Linked DNA regions of Arabidopsis thaliana. The protein of the gene in region 2 purifies or fractionates together with the protein of the main gene of each other region. This does not show direct contact. Each region holds a gene or a part of one and is shown on either strand. Other genes may lie near its edges.

Region 1 (5,877 bases), on a different chromosome or scaffold from region 2:
TAAATTCTTCAGATGACATTATCAAGAAGGTTCTGAGATTGGGCCAAATTGAGAATGCAGCAAACCTCAAGCCCAATAAACAACAGGCCCAAGCGCAGACCCTAAACAACTCTCAGCTCCAACGGTCATCTCCTGCAAAAGAAGACAAAACCAAAAGTACATCAAGATTGGATCAAAGGACAAAAACAAGGAGCTGTGCTGGAAAAGAAGGAGTGGTTTTACAAAACTGTTTTGACTGTCTAGGATCAATAGAGACCTGACATGTGTCAGTGAAAACCCTAGTGTCACTAAGATTATAATGCCTATGAAAGGAAACATGATGTAATCTTAAACCCTAAAGAGAATAATCAAGAGAAATGAAATTTATCTTCTTTATATTTAGCCTTTGAGCATCTTTACTTTCATTGGTTAAGAGAACACTGAAAGCAACAATTCATATGTATAAAAATCTGAAAAAATAATTCAACATTCTAATTCATTAAACGTAGGATTTACAAAAGTCCCACTTTGTCTCCCATTTTTAGTCATCGTTCATGATGGTTGTATGCGAATAGTTTGATGAACAACTATAATTATTACATTTAGTTTGTTTCCAACGAGCCATATGTCAATGTTTGTTACGCTACAATTTTTATTTTTCTTATTTCTTAAACTTTTTACTTTGGAATAAGTTGATATGTATATGAATCATCTACCATTTCTCGTTTTTTCACAATAAATCCTAAATTTTTTGAACATTTTGTCTATATATAACTTTTCCATGACATAAATTAACCTTAGATAATATTGTATCTAAAGGTATAAACTACCGTTCCAAGTCTGATTAAACTATTGACCCTAAACATTTTTAAAACTGTTAGATCCACAAGACGCACAACTAGTTGATTGCATAGTCTTTTGAAACAAGACAAACAAACACTATATCAAAACAATATCATCTTTCTAATTTTATTTTAGTTATGTCGCTATCTATATGAACGATTTTCCGATAAGCTAGTCATATGCAAAAGATTTATAAAAAAAGTAATATGTTGACGAGGAAAGTGATAGATTGATAAATTAAGAACATAAATGTTTTTGAAAAGAAATTATAGCTAAACTGTCATAAAATAAAATTATAAAATAGATTAACTTATATATAATAGAAGCAACTTCAGTTTTTTAAAACATTCATGGAATTAACGATGGATATCGAAGTTTATTGGTCAACCTAAAATCATACCCATACATTTTAGTATTTATTGGACGACCTCAAAAATCAAAGTCATTGTCGACCATTGTAATACAGTTAATGTCGCATACTATGCCTCTGAATCATCCATCCATATTTTGTTAAAACGAAGTGAGTTTGTTAACTACAAAATTTCCAATTATTGGACTATACATTATATTTTGTTTATCCACAGGGTTTTTCACATAAATTAAGAAAATACAAAATACTTAAGATCTTGAAAAATTATGTAAGTTATTTTCTTGCCGTCTCATTTTATTAAAGATAAAACAGAAAAAATAAACAAACAGGCCGAGGCCCAACAAGGTCAAGGCCTAGTCCAAGAAGCGAAACCCAAACATGGAGGAAGAGAATGAGAGGAGTCATCACAGAGCCAGGTGTTACGAAGAAAGTGAAACTACAAGTACAAGCATATAGTACTAAGTACTAGTCGCAATTTGGTCACAGACATAATTTCCTCGAAAACTGGGTACATTGTAATATTTCGTCGGAAAAACGTCGCAAAATCTAATTTTTAATCGCCGAGTAAGATGTTTGCGTCTTCTCAGAATCTCCGTGAGTTGAAGGAAAATGATTCGCGGCGGAAGAAACAACATTACTTCCGCTCCGGCGTTTTCGAAAGACGCAAAGAAGCTTCTTTTATGCACAGCCAACACCGTCTCTGTTTACAGCGTCGCCACTGGCTTAAAGGTTTTATCTCTCGACTCGAGCATCCTTCCTTTTAGGGTTTCCCTCTAATCTTCTTCTCTCATTAGCGTATGCGTGTGTGTGTTTTTAAGATTACTTCACTCGAGGATCATACAGCGCCTGTGACGTCTGTGATTGTTGATCCGTCTTCCGACGAAACCGTCAGTTACTGTTGGACTTCGTCGCTCGATGGGAAAATTCGGATTTGGGAGTTCTCTGCGCCGAAGCTTTTGAAGATATTTGATACCCACCTTCCAATTCACTCTCTGGTCTGTTAAAGTTCCATACTTTGCAGCTTATAAACAAAAATTTGATAACTTTCAATTGCCCTTTTCTAAGTGTCTGTTGGGACTTTGTAGGTGATGATTCCAGCTCAAGTGTCACATTCCGTGATTGCTTATGTTTCGGTTGAGGACTATTCAAGTGTGTCCAAAGATTTGTTTGGACAAATCCGGAGATATGATCTCACTCAAGACCCTCTTCATAGTGGAGACACTTTGAAAGAGGTCAGATTTGTGGATTAACCATTTTTCGATTAGCCTCATGTTTGATTCTATAATCATTTTTGTTAATGTGCAGATGGAAGAACCAAAACCTATTGTTTTAAGTCCCTCTGGAGAGTTTTTCGGCGTCTGTCATAACTGCAGTATACATATATGGAATGTGGCATCAGAGCACCTCATGCCAAAGGAGACGACATTACATCATACAGAGTTGATTACTGTTTTTGCTTTCCATCCCAATCAGAGAATATTAGCAGCCGGTGATGTAACAGGAAGAGTGTTAATTTGGAAGGATAATGGTATTGGAGAATTTACTTCAGTGAAAACTGAAGATGATACTGAATCTTGCACTACTTTCAACTGGCACAGCGCTGAAGTAACCGTCCTTAATTTCTCTTCAGATGGAGCACTTTTGTATTCTGGTGAGTCTGAGTTATTTTTTCATCATAGTGACTGTATCTCTGTGTGTTGATAAGGAATTCATGTTTCTTATATATATATATATTGAGTTCTTATGCTATATTTCCTTTGCTTGTGACTCTTTTAGGGGTAAAGGCAGGTGATTTTGTTGTTTGGGAGCTAGGTACAGGGAAGAAGCAACTTTTGCCAAAGATTGGATCTCCCTTGTTGTATTTCATCTTCTCTTCAGATTCAACTCTTTCTTCTGTAAGAGTTTTTCCGTTTACAACAACCGTAGAAAGCAAATGAAGTGTTTCATTAACTCTACTAAGATCAAGAATTTTCAGGTGATTTGTGCAGATAATCAAATTCATCTTCTTAAAATGCCTTCCATGGAGATATTGAGAACGATATCTGGAATCAAGGTTCGTTCTTACTATCATCCGAAATTTTTCCTTGTTATTGTTGGTTTAAGCATGCTCATATTGTATACCGTTTCTGTTGGAGTTAACTTCACATGCATATTGTGTTCTTTACTATGTAATAGCCTCCGACACCAGAGCGTCACGGGTTTATATGCTACGTCAAAACGCGGGATATATGCCTCACCAGAACTGTATCCATTGATCGTTCTTCCGGTATAGCTGCTTTCTGCACAGCGAATCATCGTGTTCAACTCTACAACCTTTTAAGTGACCATGACATTTCAGAGGTTAGCTTCCCAAAAGGCTTATTGAGTTTTGTATCTGATAGTTGTATGATTTTACTATTTAACAAACCTAACATATGCAGGTTCAAATTTGCGATCATCATCCAGACGATGATGATCAAGTCCGGGTTAGTACATTTTGTTTCTTCTCTGTAAGATGACATAGTTGTTACTAGTAAAAGATCCGCTCTCTTTCTGTTTTGTAATAATTTGAAGAATTATGGAAAATAGGTTCTCGTGACTGCGGTTGCTCTCTCTCGGAATGGCTCAGTAATGACTACAGCTGAGGCCAGATTTGCTGCAAGCAATTTCAGTGAAGGCATAGTTTCTCTCAAGTTTTGGGTATTTGTACCGGACAGCAAAACTTTCAGCTTATCGACAGTCATAAATCAACCTCACAGGTTTTTACTTCAATGTTCTTATAAACTTTTAAACTCCTTGATTCTCATCGTGAGTGTAACTTTTGATCCTTCTGTATTCTCACAGGGAAGCTGCAATTACAGCCATTGCCCTTAACCCCGCCCGTTCCATGGCTGTTAGTATATCTTCTGCTGGGGACTTCAAGGTAGGATTACAGAGTAGTGAAAAATGGATCATTTCCTTGGAATATCGTTTGACCTTTTGTGTTACTGATATGACTTTATGTCTGTCAAGATTTGGGTTTGCAGTAGCGACAAGAATCTGACACCTGAGGACTCAAACTGGATTTGTCATGGAGTTGGCTCTTATAAGTAAAAGATTAGGAACCTTTTAACATCTCTCATTACTTAGTCGTTGTGATGTCAAATGAAATTGATGTAATATTTTTCAGGAGAACGCCAATAACAGCTGCTGTTTTTTCCGGGGATGGTTCTTGTCTGGCTCTTGCGGCTAAAACAGTTATTACGATCTGGCACCCGTTAAAGAACGAACTCCTGTATGTAGTTGGAAAGGCAAATGCGGTAAGACTTGTATAACACACAAAAGCAATTCCATGTTCATTAGTTACAGTCATTGTTGAAATCTTAAATGATATGTAAATGTTTCAGCCAATTATGGAACTCTCATTCACTGGAGGAGGCTTCCTTATTGCTGCATCCCATGGTTCCACACCGCACTTATCTGTCTGGGATCTGATGACGTTCTGCTTATCATGGTCATATAGATTATACATAGAAGGTTTATTATTTATCTTTTTGATCATGAAATCTTGATTTTTTTGGTTGTCTAAGTATATTTCATTTTTCCTGTTTATTTGCAGCCATTGCTACTGAAGTGGACTCACCATACTTTGCAGTTTTAACATGGCTTCCAGAATCTGATAGGTTGGTAAAATCTAACGAACAGATATTCCGCGGGAAAGATGGTGCTATCCTCTTGTTTGATGGGTCAGGCCCTAAACCAGTAGCTATTTGGACTGTAATGAAGGTATATACTCTAAGGAAGGATTAATCAAAGTTCTCTCATTGCCGTTAAGAGACTTGATTACAATGTTTATTGCAGGCCAGAGGAGGAACACTTTCATTTGTGGAAGATGGTAAAAAGTCTCAGCCGCTTCTCGCGTATGTAAACAGGAGCCATGAATATGTTCTATTTGATCCTTATAGCGATGAAAAACTCGAGACTAGCGCCATAGATTATGAAGTTTTTCTTGCAGCAATAAGCAAAAAGAAGAAGAGATCTAGGAAGAAAGCATTGATGTCAGAGAAACCTTGGGAAACAATGTTTTGTGGATCAACACTCAATTTCCCGCCTTTCCCCGACTTGTGCGCTTCGTTCTTCAGTTCCCGGATGCAGAAAGAGGTGTGTGAGAGAGCAGATAGACAACCTGAAAGACATAGCTCTTGAGAGACCCCATATTTTGGAACCCAACTTGGATAACATCATTTTGTTGGTAGCCTTTTTGTTAGAGATACAATCTGATTCCTTCAGCTACTAAAAGGGTTGTTTTGATATTAAAAGGGCTTCATTCATCATGTAGAACCTGCTGATTTGAGGTGTATAAACCAATTCTCTCTTTAATACGTAAAAAAGTAAGGTCAATTGTAACGTATGGAAAAAGAAGAAGCTAAAACAGAGTAGTGGACGATAAATTATATTTAAAATTGTGACTGAAACATAATTTAACAAATTGAAAAACATAAATCGAAAGCAATTTGTGTTTTAAAGATCGTAGTCCGCAAGGTTGAGTGGGTTGCAAGTATCCTAAGTCGTATGTGGTCAAGCAGGAGGATTCATGGAGGCTGCAGGAGGAGACATCATCGGTAGGAGGGTCTCGGGGTCAAAGCCGTTGGCTCGTAGTAAGACATCTTGCGCTCGCTTCATCGCAAGCATGTTGTTGATGACGTTGTTGGAGAAGGTGCGGAATT
Region 2 (5,911 bases):
AGAAATGGATAAAAGTCCACTTGTAAGTAGTAGACTCATAATTCAATGTTCCGGTGAAAGAAAAATCAAGATTTAATTTAGAATAATCATAAGCTCTTGCTTTTAAAAACCAGGCTCAGACAGATCCATCAGTGATAATTGAGCTTCAAGATCTGAAAGAAGCAGTAATGAAGAGCAATGATGAAGAAAGAGAGGGAGACGAGGAGAGTGGTTTTGATCCAGAGAAGCACCTTGACGCTTACTTGCCTGTTCGAGTCAACGAGCAGAGAGTTAGCAACTTGTTGCAGTCACTGCTTGTGGCAGGTGCAGTGTTGGCTATGCCGGCCATTAAGCTCATACCGACTTCCATTCTATGGGGATACTTTGCTTACATGGCCATCGACAGCCTCCCGGGAAATCAATTCTTCGAACGCTTAACGCTTCTCTTCGTTCCAACAAGCCGGAGATTCAAGTATATGTTCTGAAAATGATCTGTTTTTTTTTTCTTCAAGTTATTATTATTCAGATTTCTCTTCAAAGACTGATCATGCATTGTTGTTTTCAGGGTCTTGGAGGGAGCACACGCGTCGTTCGTGGAGAAAGTTCCTTACAAGTCAATGGCTGCGTTCACACTGTTGCAGATATTCTACTTTGGGCTGTGCTATGGGGTGACGTGGATTCCGGTGGCTGGAATCATGTTTCCGGTTCCTTTCTTCCTCTTAATAGCTATCAGACAGTACATTCTCCCGAAGCTCTTTAACCCGGCCCATCTCCGAGAACTCGATGCCGCTGAGTACGAGGAAATCCCCGGTACTCCGAGAAACCCGCTGGAACTGTCTTTCCGGGTTAGTCCATATCTTAGCAATATCTACATTTTTGAGGATCCCGGACTTTGGACTAAACCATGGAGGTTTTCTTGTCATCTAAGGCATCTACAGTGACCTAAAATATTTGAATTTGTTGAATTTAATGCCAAAATAAACTTGTTTTACAGTCGAATGACTCGAAGAGAGGCGTCCAAGAAGGCGATGCTGAGATTTTAGACGAGTTAACGACAAGCAGAGGCGAGCTTAAAGTCCGTACATTGAATCTTAACGAAGACAAAGGCAACCAGGTTTTGTTTTGTTATGCATCCTTGATATGAATCTTAACTTTGTGAAAAGAATTATAGACTCAAGATCGCTGTTAAAAACCTGCAGATTTATCCCAAGGAGAAAGTAAAAGCAGGAGACGGGGACATGAGCACGACAAGGGAGTGAGTGAATCAACAAAAAGAATCAGAGATTATTCTTTCAAGTGATGATCATGATCATGATCATACGCAAAACTATATAGTATTGTAGAACACAGATTGTATGTGGCTTTCTTTTTTTTTTTGGTTCTTAAACCTAAGATGATGTGTGTGTTTGTCAATATAGTCTTCTTAGCAATGAAAATCGATAAAGAATTAACACAGCGAGAATGTTACGGATATGTAACGTAACCTTCCAAGAAAAGGTACTAAATTTCAAAAAAGTCAATGTGTTCCTCATAATTTCAATCTATGAGTCAATAATCACTTTACCATAGACTAAAATTCATTTTGTTAACTTTTTGTGTAGAAGAAAAGCAAAGGATAGCTTCTCTTCTATGGTAAAGATGCGAATCTGTAGTTTGTTTGATGTTCTCTGCAAAATTCGCATGTATAAAATTAATTAAACGTTTAGAAATATAATAGATGAACTTTATAGTACAAAGGATCCGTGGCGCAATGGTAGCGCGTCTGACTCCAGATCAGAAGGTTGCGTGTTCGATTCACGTCGGGTTCAAATATCCCGAATCTTGATCCTTAATTTTTTTTTCCTCTTGGGCTTACTACGACTACATAAGGAGGAAGCCCATATATGCCCAACAACTAAAATCCAGTTCATAACAGAAACCCTCGTTAAACCTAACGCCGTAATTATCGCCTCCGGCATATCAATCCTCCGCCTTCTCATTCTTCTCCAGACGCCATGGAGTTCCGTTTCGAGAATCTTCTTGGCGCTCCTTACAGAGGCGGGAACGCAGTCATCACTAAGAATACTCAGCTAATTTCACCGGTTGGTAATCGTGTCTCCGTCACCGACCTAAGTAAGAACCATTCGGTCACTCTTCCGCTCGAAACCTCTACCAACATATGTCGCCTCGCTTCCTCACCCGACGGTACTTTCCTACTCGCCGTCGATGAACAAAACCGATGCCTTTTCATCAACTTGCCTCGGCGGGTAGTTCTTCACAGAATTACCTTCAAGGATAAAGTCGGTGCCTTGAAGTTCAGCCCTAATGGTAAGTTTATCGCTGTTGGAATTGGTAAGTTGGTGGAAATATGGCGATCACCTGGTTTCAGGCGAGCTGTTTTGCCCTTTGAGCGGGTTAGGACTTTTGCTAATTCTGATGATAAAGTTGTCTCCTTGGAGTGGAGCTTGGACTCTGATTATTTGCTTGTTGGCTCAAGGGATTTAGCTGCTAGGTTGTTTTGTGTTAGAAAGTTGAAGGGTGTTTTAAATAAGCCATTTTTGTTTCTGGGTCATAGAGATTCTGTTGTGGGTTGCTTCTTTGGTGTTGATAAAATGACTAACAAGGTCAACAGGGCTTTCACGATTGCAAGGGATGGTTACATTTTTAGTTGGGGCTATACTGAAAAGGATGTCAAAATGGATGAATCAGAAGATGGCCACTCTGAGCCACCGTCACCTGTTACTCCAGATAGGGCTGATGAGGTGATGGTGGAAAATGGTGGTGGTGTTGGTACTGAGCTTAAGAAACGAAAAGAGTATGACGGTAAAGGTCTTGAATCAGATGAAGAAGGAGATGATGATGATGAAGAGTATATGCACAGAGGAAAATGGGTTTTGTTGAGGAAGGATGGGTGTAATCAGGCATCAGCAAAGGTGACCGCTTGCGACTATCATCAGGGACTTGACATGGTTGTGGTGGGGTTCTCAAATGGTGTTTTTGGGCTTTATCAGATGCCAGATTTCATCTGTATCCATCTGCTCTCTATTTCTAGGCAGAAGCTAACAACAGCTGTCTTCAATGAGCGTGGTAATTGGCTGACCTTTGGTTGCGCGAAACTTGGGCAACTGTTAGTCTGGGATTGGCGAACCGAAACCTATATACTGAAGCAACAAGGACACTATTTTGACGTCAACTGTGTCACTTACTCACCGGATTCGCAGCTCTTGGCAACTGGTGCTGATGATAACAAAGTCAAGGTAATGAAATTTCATAGACTTAACTGTTATGTTCTATACCATGCTTCTCATCTATTTCTGAATTTAACCAGCCCGTTTTTTATTATGTTACATTTTTAAGGTGTGGAACGTTATGTCAGGAACATGTTTCATTACATTCACCGAGCATACCAATGCCGTGACTGCTCTTCATTTTATGGCTGACAACCACTCCCTCTTAAGTGCATCTCTGGACGGCACTGTTCGTGCTTGGGATTTTAAAAGATACAAGAACTATAAGACATACACAACCCCTACACCCCGACAATTTGTTTCCTTAACAGCAGACCCGAGTGGTGACGTCGTCTGTGCTGGGACCCTAGATTCATTCGAGGTAATTCAACTTAGGCCCTGAAGGATTTCAGTCACCTACTCACAAATACTTTGGTGAGGTGAATCACTTTATGCTTGCCTATGTGCAGATTTTTGTATGGTCCAAGAAGACTGGGCAAATAAAGGATATTCTGAGTGGGCATGAGGCTCCTGTTCATGGGTTGATGTTTTCTCCCTTAACGGTAAAGAAACTGTCATAGTCTCATACTTCTTTTAGTCAAAATACAATTTGCTTCGTGCCTCTGAACAATTATGTGAACTTCTGCCTTATGGTGTTATAACTTCCATGCCTTATCTAGTTCATATATTTCTTTCTCTGCAGCAACTTTTAGCTTCATCCTCATGGGACTATACAGTTCGGTTGTGGGATGTGTTTGCTAGCAAAGGCACCGTGGAAACGTTTCGACACAACCACGATGTTCTAACAGTTGCTTTCCGTCCTGATGGGAAGCAATTAGCCTCGAGTACGCTAGATGGGCAGATCAATTTCTGGGACACCATTGAAGGTGTGTTAATGTACACCATAGAGGGGCGGAGAGATATCGCTGGAGGTCGGGTCATGACTGACCGTCGGTCTGCAGCTAATTCAAGTTCTGGAAAGTGTTTTACAACATTGTGCTATTCCGCTGATGGAGGGTATATTCTAGCCGCAGGAACTAGCAGATATATTTGCATGTATGATATCGCAGATCAGGTTAGCTAACTAGCTCCTCTTGGAGTTCAGGTTTTCTTAAAGCTTGTGTTCTTCTGATAAAGAAACTTAGTCAAAGTGTCTGGAATATCACCTTTTCAGGTTCTTCTGCGCCGGTTTCAGATATCCCATAATCTTTCGTTAGATGGGGTTCTGGACTTCTTGCACTCTAAGAAGATGACAGAAGCAGGACCAATTGATCTGATCGATGATGACAACAGCGATGAAGAAGGTGGCATTGATAAACAGTCGAGAGGGAATCTGGGTTACGATCTGCCTGGATCCAGGCCTAACCGTGGCAGGCCCATTATCCGGACAAAAAGCCTCAGCATTGCCCCAACTGGAAGGAGCTTTGCTGCTGCAACAACAGAAGGAGTCCTCATCTTTTCAATTGACGATACCTTCATCTTTGATCCGACCGATCTAGATATAGATGTTACTCCAGAGGTGAGCCTTTTGTAAATCGCTGATGGTGGTTATAGTTCTGATTATTGGTTTTGAAATGTAAAGCTAAGGTGTTGTTTGTGTAGGCTGTTGAGGCTGCCATAGAAGAGGATGAAGTTAGCAGAGCACTTGCTCTAAGTATGCGTTTGAACGAAGATAGCCTTATCAAAAAATGCATCTTCGCTGTAGCCCCTGCAGACATAAAAGCTGTTGCCATCTCTGTCCGCCAGAAATACTTAGAAAGGCTTATGGAAGCTTTGGTGGATCTGCTTGAGAACTGTCCTCATCTGGAGTTCATACTTCACTGGTGTCAGGTAATGTCTCGTTTTCTTCTCTTTTTTGATAAATCTCTGCTCAAATGCTCTCAACTTAATCAAACTTTGTGTTGTCTTTTTATGTGCAGGAAATCTGCAAGGCTCACGGAAGCTCCATTCAGCGGAACTACAGAACTCTATTGCCTGCACTGAGATCGTTGCAGAAGGCGATCACCAGAGCCCATCAGGATCTGGCAGATATGTGTTCTTCCAATGAGTACACGCTTCGCTACTTGTGTTCTGTTCCAAACAATCATTGATTATGTTTTCTGCATTATGTATCACCGGAAATTTTCATCTTCCTTTTTCGGTTAAACAAATTTTGAGATTTTGATATATGAGTTTCTAACATCTGAATACAAAATGGAGCAAAGAAATTAAACAGTTTGCAGGCAACCATAAAAAGTACGAAGAATGTGAATAATTTGATTTAAGCAGAGATTTTTGAATAGGCAAAAGATGATCCTAGCTATGAAGACTTCACTAACAGAAGCTAACATACAAACAATATTAAATTTATGCCTAGAACAAGAACTGATGTCGCTACAAGAACATTACATTATGATAAAAATCAAGAGACATCAAAACTTTTGGAAGAATTCCTCATAGACTCTGGCACTCAGAATCTTCATGGCGTCCATCTGGGATACATGGGGGCATGGAACTCCAGACGGGGTATGTGAGCCGGGTAATTGTCGGTGCTTGCACGGCTCTCCATGGACGCACCAAGAAACAGATTATGCACCAACGCATCAAAGTTGAGATCAATCATGGGATGACGATATGGAAGCTGATGGAGAGAAGTCGCCAACAATCTCTGTTCTGCATCCCATCTCTGACGAGCGTTGAGCATTTCAATGTACTCCGCCTCTCTCTCCAACTGCTCCCACATGTGT
Region 3 (6,367 bases), on a different chromosome or scaffold from region 2:
TTACACTGTCTTTATGACTCCTCCTGCGACTCCTAAACCACCTGAATCTCCCTCCGCTGTGTCTCAGAAGCCTGTGATGGCACCACCGGTTCTTCCTCCGCCGCAGCAGTTTAAATCGGTGGCTTCTTCTGACCAGGACGGCTCAGTTTTGGGGTTCTTTAAAAACGCCGTCACAAAGGTTCAAAATGGTGAGAAATCTGATAAACAATTAACTGATTTTCAGCTCAAAGTTTCCTCATTTTTAGATCTTGAATTTGAGATTGATTTTTCCGATACCCTTTGATTGATTGATTAGGAAATTGAACTCAAAAATGATATAAATCGTTGTAAAGTTTCTATCTTTGTGAAGTGATTGGAAAGTACTAATGTTACATGAATTCTAGCTTTTCATACTGTTTATGTGATTTGGTCCTAAAAGCAATTAGATTGTGAATTTGACATTCATGTTGTGTGTGTGTGTTCTAATCCATTTGACTACAGCACATTCAAGTGTGGATGATCATTTGGTGAGGTGGTTTGGGTTAAACCAATCTAAGTATCAGTGGGCTTTGGATGAGTACTACGAAAGCAAAGAATCAGTAAGTTTTTTTTTGAGTCTCTATATGTTTCCTTTGAGTCTCTATATGTTTAGTTTCTTGTTCTTGCGGGTCCTGTATCGTTCTTTGTACTAGTTTCTATCGATAATCGATTCCTTTAGTCCGATTGATTCATCAGCTTTTTGTTTCATGTACATTTTGCGTAAGCTTAGAAGTAAAGCTAGTTTAAGTGTTTTTTTGCTCTTTGCTTCTAGGCTAATGAACATAACAATATACAACCAATGAAATTGATACAACATATTTGAAGCTTGATATTCACTCAATATCAGTTGTAAAAATTGTTCATTGGTATTTGGTAGTCAAAAATGTCATTGATTGGTTTTAGAGTTACTACTCTCTTTAGTCATTGATTTGCTTATGTTCCTCAAGTAAATCTTGTAGTTAACACATATCTTTTGAATCGAACGCAGGATATGAAGACCGTGAAAGCAAAGGAGATGCCGGGGAAAGTACAGAGTGTATAAGCAACCATGTATAAACTCATTTCCCCTTTGGCCAATTCTAAAATCTGTTTTTCTGAGAGAGTTCAAAAAAGCTTGAGTCTTGAGGAAAGTTCTCTTCAGATGATATTTAATCTTAGAGATTTCTTTTGGTATATTTCAAAACCTATGTAGTAGCTCTTTCTAGTTTCATCTAACAATGGTGAAATCTCCAAAGCAAAATGGAGAGATGTCATTGGTCATTTGGTTTGTTGTAAGTTTAATCACATTATTTACTTTTTAATTGTATCGTTATAATCTATATATTGTCTCAATTCAAAAAAGTTTGCTCAGTGTTTTTCTTTTGATTGTTGTCATACATGAAAACTTTTGCTAGATACCTCTCAAAACTTCAATAATTATCTTCATCAAACCTAACAAGGCCCATTACAAAGGCCCAAAAACATTATTGTTTAATATTTTCCGATTAAATAAATAGATAAAAACTGAAATGTAATTGAGCAGAAAAAAAAACAAAAGAGACGAAGAAGGGTTTAAGTTAGGGCTTTTGAAGTAAACCAATTTTGTGCGTCTCCCTTTTCTTCTTCTCTTCCCAATTTCACCGCCTCTCTCTATCGCCGGAAATTAACCATGAAACGCGGCGGAAGAAGCTACGTAACTTCACCTCCATCATTCTCCAACGACGCTAAAAAGCTTCTCGTCTGCACAGGAAACACTGTCTCTGTTTTCAGCGCCGCCACTGGCTTACAGGTACCAAAAATTTAATTCTTCTTCGATTTTGTTAGGGTTTCTATTCGAATCATTGATTGATACATTTCTGTTTTAGATTACTTCGCTTGAAGGTCATACAGCTCCAGTAACAACTCTAATTGTTGTTCCTGCATCAAGTCCTGCTCAAAAAATCCTTTGTTATTGTTGGACTGCTTCTCTTGATGGTACTATTCGTCATTGGGATTTCTCTGGACCTGAGCTATTGAAAACTATTGATGCTCAGCTTCCGATTTACTCTATGGTGAGTATAAAAAAAGTTTGATACTTTGATTAGGTTTTGTGAGTGTTTTGTTTGATGAAATGAATCTATGTGTTTTGTGTGTTTTAGGTTATACCATCTCTTTTGAGCGAACCTCAACAAATTGATAAACGTCGTGAGTTGTCTGGTAAGTTGGTTGCTTATGTTTCCGTTGAGGATATAAGTGTGGTTAACCAAGGGTCTAAAGAGTTGCGTGGACATATCCGAAGATTTAACCTCGCTAAGTCGCGTATTCCTCGTGGAGATACTTTAAAAGAGGTTAGTTTTTTTAATGGACTTATTTGAAAGAGGTTTGTCTTTAATGTTGTCTTGAAGTTGAATTGTGTAAGCTCAAGTTATTTGCTTATTTCTTTGTGTAGACGGCAGAACCAGAATCTATTGTTATTAGTCCCTCGGGAGAATTTTTCGGAATCCGTCACAAGTGTAAAATTCATATATGGGATGTTCCTTCTGGAGGATCAAGGCATGCGGTTTCAAGGAAGATGACATTACATCACACAAAGGTTATCAATGCTTTTGCTTTTCATCCCACGGAGAGAGTTATAGCTGCTGGAGATGTAACTGGAAGAGTGTTGATTTGGAGAGGATTTGGTAATAGAAAACTTGCCTTGGGTAATCAAAAGAAAAAAGTGAGAGCCATGGTTGATTTGGACAATGCTGGAGTGAGAGGTGAAGATGATGCTGAATCTTGCACTACATGGCACTGGCATTCTGCTGAAGTTAATGTCCTTAATTTCTCTTCCGATGGAGCATATTTGTATTCAGGTGCGGCCGAGTTATATTCTGATATCCATTGGATTTATGAACCGACATAGACTAATAGGTCATGAGCAAATTTACTGTTTGAAAGTAATGTCCTGACTTCTTACTCCATATTGCGTCTGTTTTCTGACTCTTTAGGGGGAAGGGAAGGGGTACTTGTCGTTTGGCAGCTAGACACAGGGAAAAAGAAATTCTTACCAAGGATAGGATCCCCCTTGCTGTATTTCATGTGGTCTCCAGATCCAACTCTTTCTTCTGTAAGTCGGAGCTTACTCTTTCATTCTAATCTAACACACAACTGCTGAAAGCAAAAGGGAATGTTTTACTGATTTGACTACGAATGAGAGCTGCAGGTGGTTTGTGCAGATAATCAGATCCATTTGCTTAAAATGCCTTCCATGGAGATCTTAAGGACCATTTCTGGAATCAAGGTTCGTCTTGGAAACTTAATAATTAAGGACCTGTAATCATTCTCGTCAGTTTTGTCAACGATTCTAGGATTCTAGAAACTCTCGCAACCGCTTTACCTTTTTCTTGGTGTTTACTTCAATGTGTGTTATTTTGTTACAGCCTCCCCCATCATTGCCTAGGATGTATGAAGGCTTGGCTAGTACTGTTGCCTTTGATCGATCTTCTGGCATAGCTGCTTTGTGCACAGAGAATTATTGTGTACAGCTATATAATCTTCTCAATGACCGGGGAATTTCAGAGGTTAGAATTTGGCTCCAATATATCCTTAAGAAACTCTATGCCACTTTCTCCTGTCTATGAAATCTCTAACTTCTTTAATCAATGCTTTTGCAGATTCAAGTTTGTGAGAGAAACCATCAACCAGGAGATGAGATCACAGTAAGTACATTTCCTTGCTGTTTATTTGATAGTATATCTAAGATTATTTTCGTTTGGGTGATAATTTGAGTAAACGGTAATAGGTTGTGGTGACAGCGGTTGCTCTCTCCCTGGATGGCTCAGTGATGAGTACAACCGAGGTGAAACTTCCGGAAGATGGAATAGGAGGCTTAGTGTCCCTCAAGTTTTGGGCGTCTGAACCAGACAGCAAAACTTTCACCTTATCCACAATCGTATATGAACCTCATAGGTTAATATTTCACCCTCTGCTAATGGATAAAGCTTTATTTTTCACCATTACCCAATTTTCTTGTCATGTTTTATTTCTTGTAAACCTTGCAAACATAGATTTCAATTTCTCTTATTTAGTCTACAAACTGTTATATCCTTTGCAGAGAGTAAATTTTATTTTCCTGTATATCTTACAGGGATGCCGGTGTCTCAGCCATTGTGTTCCACCCTACCCGCTCCATGGCAGTGAGTACATCATTCGGTGGTGACTTCAAGGTAGTTCTTAAACTGATTTTACATTTTTCTCTCTGTGTTTTTTGTTTGTTATTATTGTCTTACTGATATCACTTTTGCTGTTTCAGATTTGGGTATGCAACAGTGACAAGAACCAGACGGATAAAGACTCTAGCTGGATATGTCACGCTGTTGGCTCTTATAAGTAATAGCTTCTCTACGCGCTAGGAAATTTCAACATTCACAAATTATTCGCCTTGGCGATCAAATTTATATTCTCTTGCCTTTGAATATTTTCCAGGAAGAAACCAATGACTGCTGCTGCTTTCTCTGGGGATGGCACTGTTATGGCTGTTGCGGCTGAGAATGTTATTACACTGTGGAATCCAGATAAGAACATTCTCTTGTCTGTTCTAGGATCGACACTCACGGTAAAACCTATGAAGTTATCCCTAAAAAAGCTGGAACCTTTTTCCATAAAGACCAATGTTTAAACCTCTCTATATATTATTACAGCCTATCACGAAGCTCTGTTTCGCTGGAAAGTCTGAGTTCCTTGTTGCTGCATCCCATATTCCAAGACCTGAACTATCTGTTTGGAATACATCAAAGTTATCTTTATCATGGTCATATGGGTTACGCATAGAAGGTCAGTATTATAATGCTTCTTTGATTTCCCCATGAAAACTCTTGCTGTGGTTTACTTAGAAAATGCTTGTTCTCGTTCTATAGCTGTCACCTCTGCAGTGGATTCGTCAGCATTTGCAGTCTTGGCTGTGATCCCAAAAACTTTTAAAACAGATGAATCTAAGGAGAACATCTTCCGTGGTAGAGATGGTGCCATTCTTTTGTTTAACGGATCAGATCCCAAGCCGGTATCTATATGGACTGTGATGAAGGTATGACATAAGAAATAGCCCGTTAGTATTTAACCTTGGAGAGACAGGAAAGAATCCAACGAGTTAAACAATGTCTAAATTGCAGGCTAGGGGAGGATCAATCTCATTTTTAGAAGGAGATAAGTCTCAGCTTCGCCTTGCATATGTAAATGGAAGCCATGAATATGTTGTCTTTGATCCCAATAGTGATGAGTCACATGAGCGTAGCGCTGTTGACTACGATGGTCTTGCTGGTCTGGAAGAGACAGGTAGTTAAAACTTAAAACATATTTGAAAGAACCTTTGTTGATTATACCATGTTACTAATCGAAAAAGTCTCAACCTTTTAGGAGACGCCGGGTACACATCCTTATACGGGCAGTTACCTGATTATGACAAGAAGAGAATGGAGGATGTTGAGTCGTTGGGAACACCGTTTGTATCATCAGAAAGACCGTGGGAAACAATATTCAGCGGCTCCACACTAAATTTCCCGCCACTTCAGAAATTATGTGCTGAGTTCTTTGAGTCCCTAATGGAGAAAAGAACGGCCGTTGTGGAATGAGACCTTACACAAAAAGTTTTTTGTAAGGTTTATTATACAGAAGAAGAGCTCATTTTTGCAGCCATCTTTGGTGAGCAAAGTTGTTGAGTTTGTTCAGGAAATTTTGTAGCTCTTTGTTGTGAGATTCGGTCCAGTTTATTTATGTTGTTGCTACTCAAAAAATACAGGATTCTAACCAATTGTGCCATGTTTGACCCAAAAACGAAATGAAATATCACGACCTGCCTTTTTTTTTTTCGTTTCTAAAATACGGCATGCATTTATATATTTTAATGCAAATTGTTCTTGAAATCATAATGAGATTTATTATACTGAGGGTGCTTCGTTTTTAAATTTGAAAAATGTTCATGAAATCGTTATATATCCTTAGTGGAAATAAGCAAAATAATTTGGGGACTTTTTACTTTTGCTAATAGATTCTCAATAATTGTGAAACGAGTCAGGTGCTCCTAACCCACCAAAAGAAATTATTCCAAAATCCAAATATTTCAACTAACACCTTGCATTATTTTATTTGAACTTTGCTTGATAACATTTTGCATTATTAAGTTGGAAAATGGGAATACAAATAGATATTTCATATTTCGTGATTCGAGGTTCATCTATTATATATTTAGCTCTTTTGGTGGTCCAATATGTTGAGCAAATTATTCTTTAAGTACATGAAAAAGGTAATTGCTTTGGGGACACTTACCTTTTTATTTTTATTTCCACATGCATGTAGGACAATAGTTTGCAAGGTTTGTGTTACGTCTTCGAAAAGCTTTCTACTTTTGCAAAAA
Region 4 (7,536 bases), on a different chromosome or scaffold from region 2:
ATACTACTTTAGAAATGTTATGTTATTTATTTTTATTTAAAAACAGAGTATTCACAGGTTCTACAAAACGTTCATAAACTTAACCGGTTTTAACAAACTATTAAGTCGAGTAAACCATATGTATAAATCAGTAGTTTCCTATGTGTAGTCTCTAAATACACAAAAATGTTTTTAACAAGATTCAAATATATAAATAAATTTATACATGTTCCGGTCTACTTGCCAAACATATTGTTTCACACTCGATACGTTTTGGACTACCAGATCTTTCAACGACCGTATGACGATATGTGTGACAACAAATGGAATGGAGCATTAAAAATGACTTCACACTTCTATGTATCTAATACAAAGAGAAACATAACGAATCTAATCCTCCAAGCCACGTTTTCTAGTACAAGCCTAAAATACTAAAAAGGGTAACCTAAACAAATAAAAAAGTTATAATTAAATTTTCCCCCAACTTTTTCTAAAGAGTATAAGCAACACCAAACCCGTTTTTACGTAGAAGCAATGTCTCTCTCTCATCCTATAAACACTCGACAAACAACACTTTTATGAATTCACATTCAAGAACACTATAAACGACAACTAAAAATATAATTTACAAAAGAAGAACAAAAAAATGTCGAAAACATTCAAAGCCATAAGAGACCGGACATATTCAGGCGTAGGAGACCTCATCAAGCTCCTCCCGACCGGAACCGTCTTCTTGTTCCAATTTTTAAACCCTGTCCTAACCAACAATGGACATTGCCTCCTCATCAACAAATACTTAACCGGAGTTCTCATCGTTATTTGTGCCTTCTCTTGTTGCTTCACTTGCTTCACCGATAGTTACCGAACAAGAGACGGTTACGTTCATTATGGAGTTGCCACCGTGAAGGGTCTTTGGCCAGATTCATCTTCAGTGGATTTGTCTTCGAAAAGGCTTAGAGTTGGAGATTTCGTTCACGCTTTCTTCTCTCTTATCGTGTTCAGTGTTATTTCCTTGTTGGATGCAAACACCGTGAATTGTTTCTATCCTGGCTTTGGCTCCGCTGGGAAGATCTTTCTCATGGTTTTGCCTCCGGTGATCGGAGTTATCTCCGGTGCTGTTTTCACGGTGTTCCCTAGTAGACGTCACGGAATTGGGAATCCCTCGGACCACAGTGAGGATGATGCTTCCGAGATGAAATGATAGTATATGATTTTATACTATTTATATGCATAAAACATTAAAATGTAATGGCATGTGTTTATTCGTGGAATGGTAAATACGAAAGTTTTATAATTGTGATCTTTTTTTTTGTTATTTTTATTTATGTATTTGAATGCTGATCATATGTTGTGTGTTTGTTTTTTGGTATTTTTTCCATATGTTTGTTGATAAACTCAAAAGTAATAACATATCTCTTTTTATGCTCATAGTGAGTGAATCAGCATTATTGAAATCACTAGATGTTAAGGAGTTGAAACTTAAGAGACACTTATATGAACTAATGTATATACACACAAATATTTCTATATATCCTTTTATTTTGAAAGAAATTAGCTAGGAAAAATTAATGTGGATGGGCCCTTTAACAAAAAAAATAAAAAAAATTAATGTGGATGTTAAAAAGGTAAGCCTAGAGTATGAATAAGATAAAAAGTGTACGTTCTTGATTTTCTTTAGATGATAATCATTCAATTATTATACATTGATTTTTAAGAAAATGATAAAAAATTACTAATATTGGTCATGGATGTCGTGAGCCATTTTTCTTTTTGTTTGTTCTGTTTCGTTCTTAGTACCAATGATTACACAACATAGTTGCAAATTGAGAAAACAAAAGTTTGGGTCCGAAGAGTAAGGGCTTCAAATCTATTGAAATAAAGTTAGGGGTTAAATATTGAATAGACAAAAGGTTTAAGACTATATCGCAATTTATCAAAAGTAACATTGGATGTTAGAACCCTGCTGCCTTAACCACTCTAAAACCCTAAATCCCGCCATCAAAAGCTAGAAGAAGAAGAAGAAGAGAAAATCAAAACCAAAGCTTTTGGAGAATGGTGAAGGCTTACCAAAGATACGATGCAGCGACCTCTTTCGGTGTGATTTCATCTGTAGATTCGAACATAGCTTACGATTCGACGGGGAAGTATGTGCTTGCTCCGGCGTTGGAGAAGGTCGGAATATGGCACGTCCGGCAAGGTGTCTGCTCCAAAACCCTAACTCCTTCCTCCTCTCGCGGTGGACCATCTCTCGCCGTTACCTCTATAGCCTCCTCTGCTTCTAGCTTGGTACTTACTTTTGTTCGTTTTTTATTTTGATTTGCTTAATGACTTGAAAGTTGTTCACTTTGTAATCTATTTGGTAGCTAAATAGAGCTAGAAATGTCGTATTTGAATTTTAAGCTAGAATTAATAATATTCATGGTGCTTTGTACTATTGAGTATCTGAAGGAGTTTGCTGTTGTTTGATTCTGTGTGATAAACCAGGTGGCAGTTGGGTATGCAGATGGGAGCATAAGAATATGGGATACTGAGAAAGGAACTTGTGAGGTTAATTTTAATAGCCATAAGGGGGCGGTGACTGCTTTGCGGTACAATAAGGTTGGATCGATGCTTGCATCTGGAAGTAAAGATAATGATATTATCTTGTGGGATGTTGTTGGCGAATCAGGTCTTTTTCGTCTCCGTGGGCACCGAGATCAGGTTATTTAATGTCTAGCTTGATATTTCTAGTATTTAGTGTTTGATGATTCTGCTATGGTGTGTGGGTTTTTATAGTGGTTTTTGACAAGAGCAATGTTCATGTGTCTAATGTAGGTCACAGATCTTGTATTCTTGGATGGTGGTAAGAAACTTGTAAGTTCATCTAAGGACAAGTTCTTGAGAGTCTGGGATCTTGAGACCCAACACTGTATGCAAATAGTTAGTGGTCATCATAGTGAAGTGTGGTCTGTTGATACTGATCCAGAGGAGAGATATGTTGTTACTGGGTCGGCTGATCAAGAACTTAGATTTTATGCTGTCAAGGAATATTCGTCTAACGGATCATTGGTATCTGACTCAAATGCAAATGAAATCAAGGCCAGTGAAGAACATTCGACAGAGAACAAGTGGGAAATTCTAAAGCTGTTTGGGGAAATTCAGAGACAAACTAAGGATAGAGTTGCGAGAGTTAGATTCAATGTTTCGGGAAAACTTCTGGCTTGTCAAATGGCAGGTAAAACTATTGAAATATTCCGGGTTTTGGATGAAGCTGAGGCTAAGCAGAAAGCAAAGCGTAGGCTTCGCAGAAAAGAGAAGAAGAGTTCCAAAGTGGGGGATGAAAATTCAACCGCTAATGGCGAAGCAAGTGCTAAAATTGAACTAGCTGATGCTGTTTCTAGTCCTACTGTCCTTGATGTTTTCAAGCTCTTACAAGTCATTAGAGCTGGGAGAAAAATCAGCTCTTTCTCTTTCTGTCCGACAGCTCCAAAAGAATCCTTAGGAACATTAGCTCTCTCTTTGAACAATAACTCACTGGAATTCTATTCCCTTAAAAGCAGCGAAAACGCGAAAACTGTTACCATTGAACACCAAGGACATCGCTCTGATGTGAGGAGTGTTACCCTCAGTGAAGACAACACCCTTTTGATGTCAACCAGTCACAGTGAAGTAAAAATTTGGAATCCCAGTACAGGTTCCTGCCTCCGGACCATTGATTCAGGATATGGATTATGCAGTTTGATTGTTCCCCAAAACAAGTATGGTATTGTTGGAACCAAGAGTGGGGTACTTGAAATCATTGATATAGGGAGCGCTACCAAAGTGGAAGAAGTGAAGGCTCATGGTGGCACTATTTGGTCAATTACACCTATTCCAAACGATAGCGGGTTTGTCACAGTCAGTGCAGATCATGAAGTCAAATTCTGGGAATACCAAGTCAAACAGAAATCTGGCAAGGTGAGATTCCTGACCTTAAGTTTCTTTTATTTTCTCTATTAGATAAGTAAACGTTTTTGTATCATAGATTGCCTCTCTACTCTCTTTTTTTCCATCTCCTGTTTTCCGTGCCTTTGTTTTCTGGAATTGCTCACTCTTAAGAAAGTTGTTGATGAGCACATTGTTTATTAGTGTTATTTGAGTAGTATATTACAGTGTGCTAAAATGATTCGATCAAAACATATTGTGTTTGATAACCTGCAGGCGACCAAGAAACTCACTGTTTCAAATGTTAAGTCCATGAAGATGAATGACGATGTACTTGCTGTTGCTATCAGCCCGGATGCTAAACACATAGCAGTTGCACTGCTTGATTCCACAGTGAAGGTAGATTTTCTGTTTATGGCATATGTAAATGAGAAAATAATAATTTTCAGTACGTCATATAAATGATACGCTAACCACATTCTTATAATCGTATCTATCGTATTATCATTTACATTGACGTATGTAACACTAACTTATGTACCTTATATTGGTTTCAGGTTTTCTACATGGATTCCCTAAAATTCTACCTCTCCTTATATGGCCACAAGTTGCCTGTGATGTGCATTGACATCTCATCAGATGGAGAGTTGATTGTTACTGGTTCTCAGGACAAAAATTTGAAAATTTGGGGTTTGGATTTTGGTGATTGTCATAAGTCTATCTTTGCTCATGGTGACAGGTACTTCCATAATTCGTACCATATTTCTGAAAATGGCATAACGTACTCAATAATGTGGACCCAGTTTTTCCTTGAATATTATAATTTTGTGTAAGAAAACAGTATGACTAATTGCATGACATGATATATAAGCAGAAAACCCCTTTCCTTTTCCAGTATCTTCCCAACAGATTTACTTGGCTAGTAAAATGTTGATTATTACCGCAAATATTATATTTTGTGTTAAAGACTCCTTGGAATCATTAAAAGATTGTGGAGCTTAACTGACACGCGACTTTGTTTTACAGTGTCATGGGTGTAAAATTTGTTCGGAATACCCATTATCTGTTCAGCATTGGGAAAGACCGCCTCGTCAAGTATTGGGATGCTGACAAATTCGAGCATTTGTTAACGCTTGAAGGACATCATGCAGAGATTTGGTGCCTTGCTATCAGTAACCGTGGTGATTTTCTCGTAACAGGATCTCATGACCGCTCCATGCGTCGCTGGGATCGCTCTGAAGAACCTTTCTTCCTCGAGGTAATTCCCCACTGTTGGAAGTTACTTATTTCAGTTTACATGATGAAATCAAATACGGAAGTCATGCAAGTTCAAGCATTCAAATATAATAACTCTTCTATGTGTATGTGGTTGTGAATGTAGATTTGGTGTCATACTGTCATGTCTACATAAATCTCAAGTATATTTTGACGAGTTATTTTATGTGACTTTAGGTCAATTAATGTAATTTTACTGGAAATAATGCAGGAAGAGAAGGAAAAGAGGTTAGAAGAGCTTTTTGAGTCTGAGATTGATAATGCAGCAGATGACAGGCATGGACCCATGGAGGAAATTCCAGAGGAAGGTGTTGCAGCATTAGCTGGCAAGAAGACGATAGATGTTCTATCAGCTGCTGATTCAATTATAGATGCTCTGGAAGTAGCAGAAGATGAAACAAAGCGTCATGCTGCTTATGAGGTGGGAATCGTTACTTTGTTTGTTTATCTATACATATCGACATGACATCCCCCTAGTTGGTACTTCGTTTTTGGCTAATTTGGAGTTGAATTTAACACAAAATGGTTATGCCAATATCTACGGTTGCTACTTTGTTTCCTACTTGTTCTTTGCATCGTGATTTTTCTTTCTTCCAATCTTCAGGAGGAGAAAACAAAGGGAAAAGTTCCTGAATACCTACCCAACGCTGTGATGTTCGGGCTTTCTCCGTCCGAATATGTTCTCAGGGCCATCTCAAATGTGAGAACAAATGATCTTGAGCAGACTTTGCTGGTAGGTTGCCTTTCTTCCATCAAACCATCGTTTTACTAGTTACTTGGTTGCACCCAACTCGTACTAGATCCATGGTTATGTTAATCAATACCCTTTCCTCTTTTGGGTTTTATGTAGGCTCTACCATTCTCAGATTCTTTGAAGTTTCTTTGCTACATGAAAGACTGGAGTTTAATTCCCGAAAAGGTAAATTATATACTCCTTTTGTGTCGTAGATTCTAGATTTTAGCTCTGAAGGGCTTATAGATATAGCTTCGTGTTGTAAAGTAGAATGTACTCGATCTGGGTCATCAACCTGTTATATTTTTACAACAGATTATAGATCCATCCTTCTCGTCTTAGAATATCTCTAATGTTTGTTACCAAATCCTGCAGGTAGAGTTGGTTAGCAGAATCGCAACCATTATATTACAGACACATCACAACCAGTTGGTAACAACACCATCTGCCAGACCAATCTTAAGCGTTCTCAGGGACATTCTTTACTCAGAAATCAAGGTTAGCAAAGAGGAAAATGTTGTTGAGTTGTATATCTTTTTATTTCTGAATTGGTTTTGATATGAATCTGGAACTTATCAGGCATGCAAAGATACAATCGGTTTCAATTTGGCCGCCATGGATCATGTCAAGGTAAAAACATTTCGCACTTTGGATTATGTTCATTTTTAGCATTTTATCTCATCTTTGTGGGTATTTAAAGTGAAGCTGTGGTGTTTTGCAGCAAATGATGGATGCAAGATCTGATGCTCCCTTCAAAGATGCAAAGGCCAAGCTATTGGAGATAAGGTCACAGCAAGCAAAACGTATGGCATCACGAGGAGATACAAAGATGGAGAAAAAGAGAAAGAAGAAGCAGAAGAAATTAGAGGAAGGACAACATGGCCATGCTTTGTTCTGAGGATGTAACTTTTAAAGATGGTTAATTTAAATCCAATTTTGCCTGTTGTAACCTTTTTTTTTCTTCCATTTAATGTTTTACTAAATCACTTCGTGGAAATGTCAAATGTGGCTCGAAAGGGTCAAAATATAAATTTTCGTTACCAAGGGTCAAAATTGTACATTTCTTAAAATTAAAGGGCCATTCGTGAATAAATGATATGTTTGTGGTTTAAGACTGATTAAACCAGTCTGGTTTAATTCCGAGCTCCACTAATTTCCGGTTAACGTAAAGGTCTTTGCAATGGCGGAACAGTGATGACGGCGACGGTGATCGAATGGTGAGTTTCGTCGGACACCGTCGCTTTTACTTGATTCTCGCGCCTACCTCAAGGTCTCTTTCTCTGCTCCGTATATACAATATACATATACACACAAAACGATCGAGATTATGAGCATTACACGAAATTTTTTCTTACAATTTGGATTTCGATTTCTGAAAATATTCTCACTCATATAGTGAAATAAAAGCGTGTGAAATGGGTTTATGATAAAGGAAATAAAAATTTCATCTTGGGTCAATTTTACAGAAACAAACCCCTTGCAATATATCATCAAGTGATTATTGTTCATTCCTGAGTTACACAAGCTTTGAATTTTATGTTTTGCAATTTCTTGTGGAGGATTACTACTTTCAGTTGTTTGTGTTAAGAGTTCTGCTTCAATGCAAGTGACTATGCCTCATTCCATTATGTCTCTTGATTACACAG

Evidence for each region.
Region 1: the proteins of PWP2 (region 2) and AT3G26480 fractionate together in Arabidopsis thaliana (co-fractionation; one large-scale study listed by BioGRID). This does not show direct contact.
Region 3: the proteins of PWP2 (region 2) and AT2G18900 fractionate together in Arabidopsis thaliana (co-fractionation; one large-scale study listed by BioGRID). This does not show direct contact.
Region 4: the proteins of PWP2 (region 2) and AT3G21540 fractionate together in Arabidopsis thaliana (co-fractionation; one large-scale study listed by BioGRID). This does not show direct contact.

The regions. Positions count from the first base shown.
Region 1 is NC_003074.8:9,686,752-9,692,628, reverse strand, and holds AT3G26480 (Transducin family protein / WD-40 repeat family protein), read left to right. Parts: upstream 1-1,662; 5' UTR 1,663-1,801; coding exon 1,802-1,921; intron 1,922-2,010; coding exon 2,011-2,187; intron 2,188-2,277; coding exon 2,278-2,424; intron 2,425-2,497; coding exon 2,498-2,843; intron 2,844-2,968; coding exon 2,969-3,087; intron 3,088-3,167; coding exon 3,168-3,245; intron 3,246-3,367; coding exon 3,368-3,532; intron 3,533-3,612; coding exon 3,613-3,657; intron 3,658-3,760; coding exon 3,761-3,930; intron 3,931-4,015; coding exon 4,016-4,094; intron 4,095-4,183; coding exon 4,184-4,260; intron 4,261-4,340; coding exon 4,341-4,470; intron 4,471-4,557; coding exon 4,558-4,687; intron 4,688-4,769; coding exon 4,770-4,936; coding exon of another isoform or gene 4,937-4,960; intron 4,961-4,986; exon of another isoform or gene 4,987-5,011; coding exon 5,012-5,356; downstream 5,357-5,877. Other genes in the region: AT3G26470 (Powdery mildew resistance protein, RPW8 domain-containing protein), read right to left, coding at 5,729-5,877.
Region 2 is NC_003070.9:5,305,523-5,311,433, reverse strand, and holds PWP2 (periodic tryptophan protein 2), read left to right. Parts: upstream 1-1,875; 5' UTR 1,876-1,973; coding exon 1,974-3,215; intron 3,216-3,315; coding exon 3,316-3,567; intron 3,568-3,655; coding exon 3,656-3,748; intron 3,749-3,888; coding exon 3,889-4,260; intron 4,261-4,359; coding exon 4,360-4,704; intron 4,705-4,787; coding exon 4,788-5,015; intron 5,016-5,104; coding exon 5,105-5,275; 3' UTR 5,276-5,407; downstream 5,408-5,911. Other genes in the region: BOR4 (HCO3- transporter family), read left to right, coding at 1-22, 114-451, 545-824, 974-1,093, 1,179-1,238; AT1G15430 (hypothetical protein (DUF1644)), read right to left, coding at 5,644-5,911. UniProt on the Arabidopsis thaliana protein: Involved in nucleolar processing of pre-18S ribosomal RNA. Plays a role early in ribosome biogenesis, especially in the maturation of 5.8S rRNA. Required for guard cell functions.
Region 3 is NC_003071.7:8,187,709-8,194,075, reverse strand, and holds AT2G18900 (Transducin/WD40 repeat-like superfamily protein), read left to right. Parts: upstream 1-1,539; 5' UTR 1,540-1,666; coding exon 1,667-1,786; intron 1,787-1,862; coding exon 1,863-2,048; intron 2,049-2,135; coding exon 2,136-2,324; intron 2,325-2,425; coding exon 2,426-2,831; intron 2,832-2,966; coding exon 2,967-3,085; intron 3,086-3,181; coding exon 3,182-3,259; intron 3,260-3,398; coding exon 3,399-3,539; intron 3,540-3,632; coding exon 3,633-3,677; intron 3,678-3,760; coding exon 3,761-3,927; intron 3,928-4,105; coding exon 4,106-4,184; intron 4,185-4,270; coding exon 4,271-4,347; intron 4,348-4,443; coding exon 4,444-4,573; intron 4,574-4,658; coding exon 4,659-4,791; intron 4,792-4,874; coding exon 4,875-5,041; intron 5,042-5,126; coding exon 5,127-5,289; intron 5,290-5,370; coding exon 5,371-5,585; 3' UTR 5,586-5,839; downstream 5,840-6,367. Other genes in the region: AT2G18910 (hydroxyproline-rich glycoprotein family protein), read left to right, coding at 1-188, 481-578, 1,007-1,060.
Region 4 is NC_003074.8:7,585,352-7,592,887, reverse strand, and holds AT3G21540 (transducin family protein / WD-40 repeat family protein), read left to right. Parts: upstream 1-1,889; 5' UTR 1,890-2,031; coding exon 2,032-2,265; intron 2,266-2,463; coding exon 2,464-2,679; intron 2,680-2,793; coding exon 2,794-3,915; intron 3,916-4,158; coding exon 4,159-4,281; intron 4,282-4,439; coding exon 4,440-4,621; intron 4,622-4,908; coding exon 4,909-5,140; intron 5,141-5,368; coding exon 5,369-5,578; intron 5,579-5,761; coding exon 5,762-5,890; intron 5,891-6,007; coding exon 6,008-6,076; intron 6,077-6,265; coding exon 6,266-6,388; intron 6,389-6,469; coding exon 6,470-6,520; intron 6,521-6,611; coding exon 6,612-6,788; 3' UTR 6,789-7,002; downstream 7,003-7,536. Other genes in the region: DMP2 (transmembrane protein, putative (DUF679 domain membrane protein 2)), read left to right, coding at 626-1,180.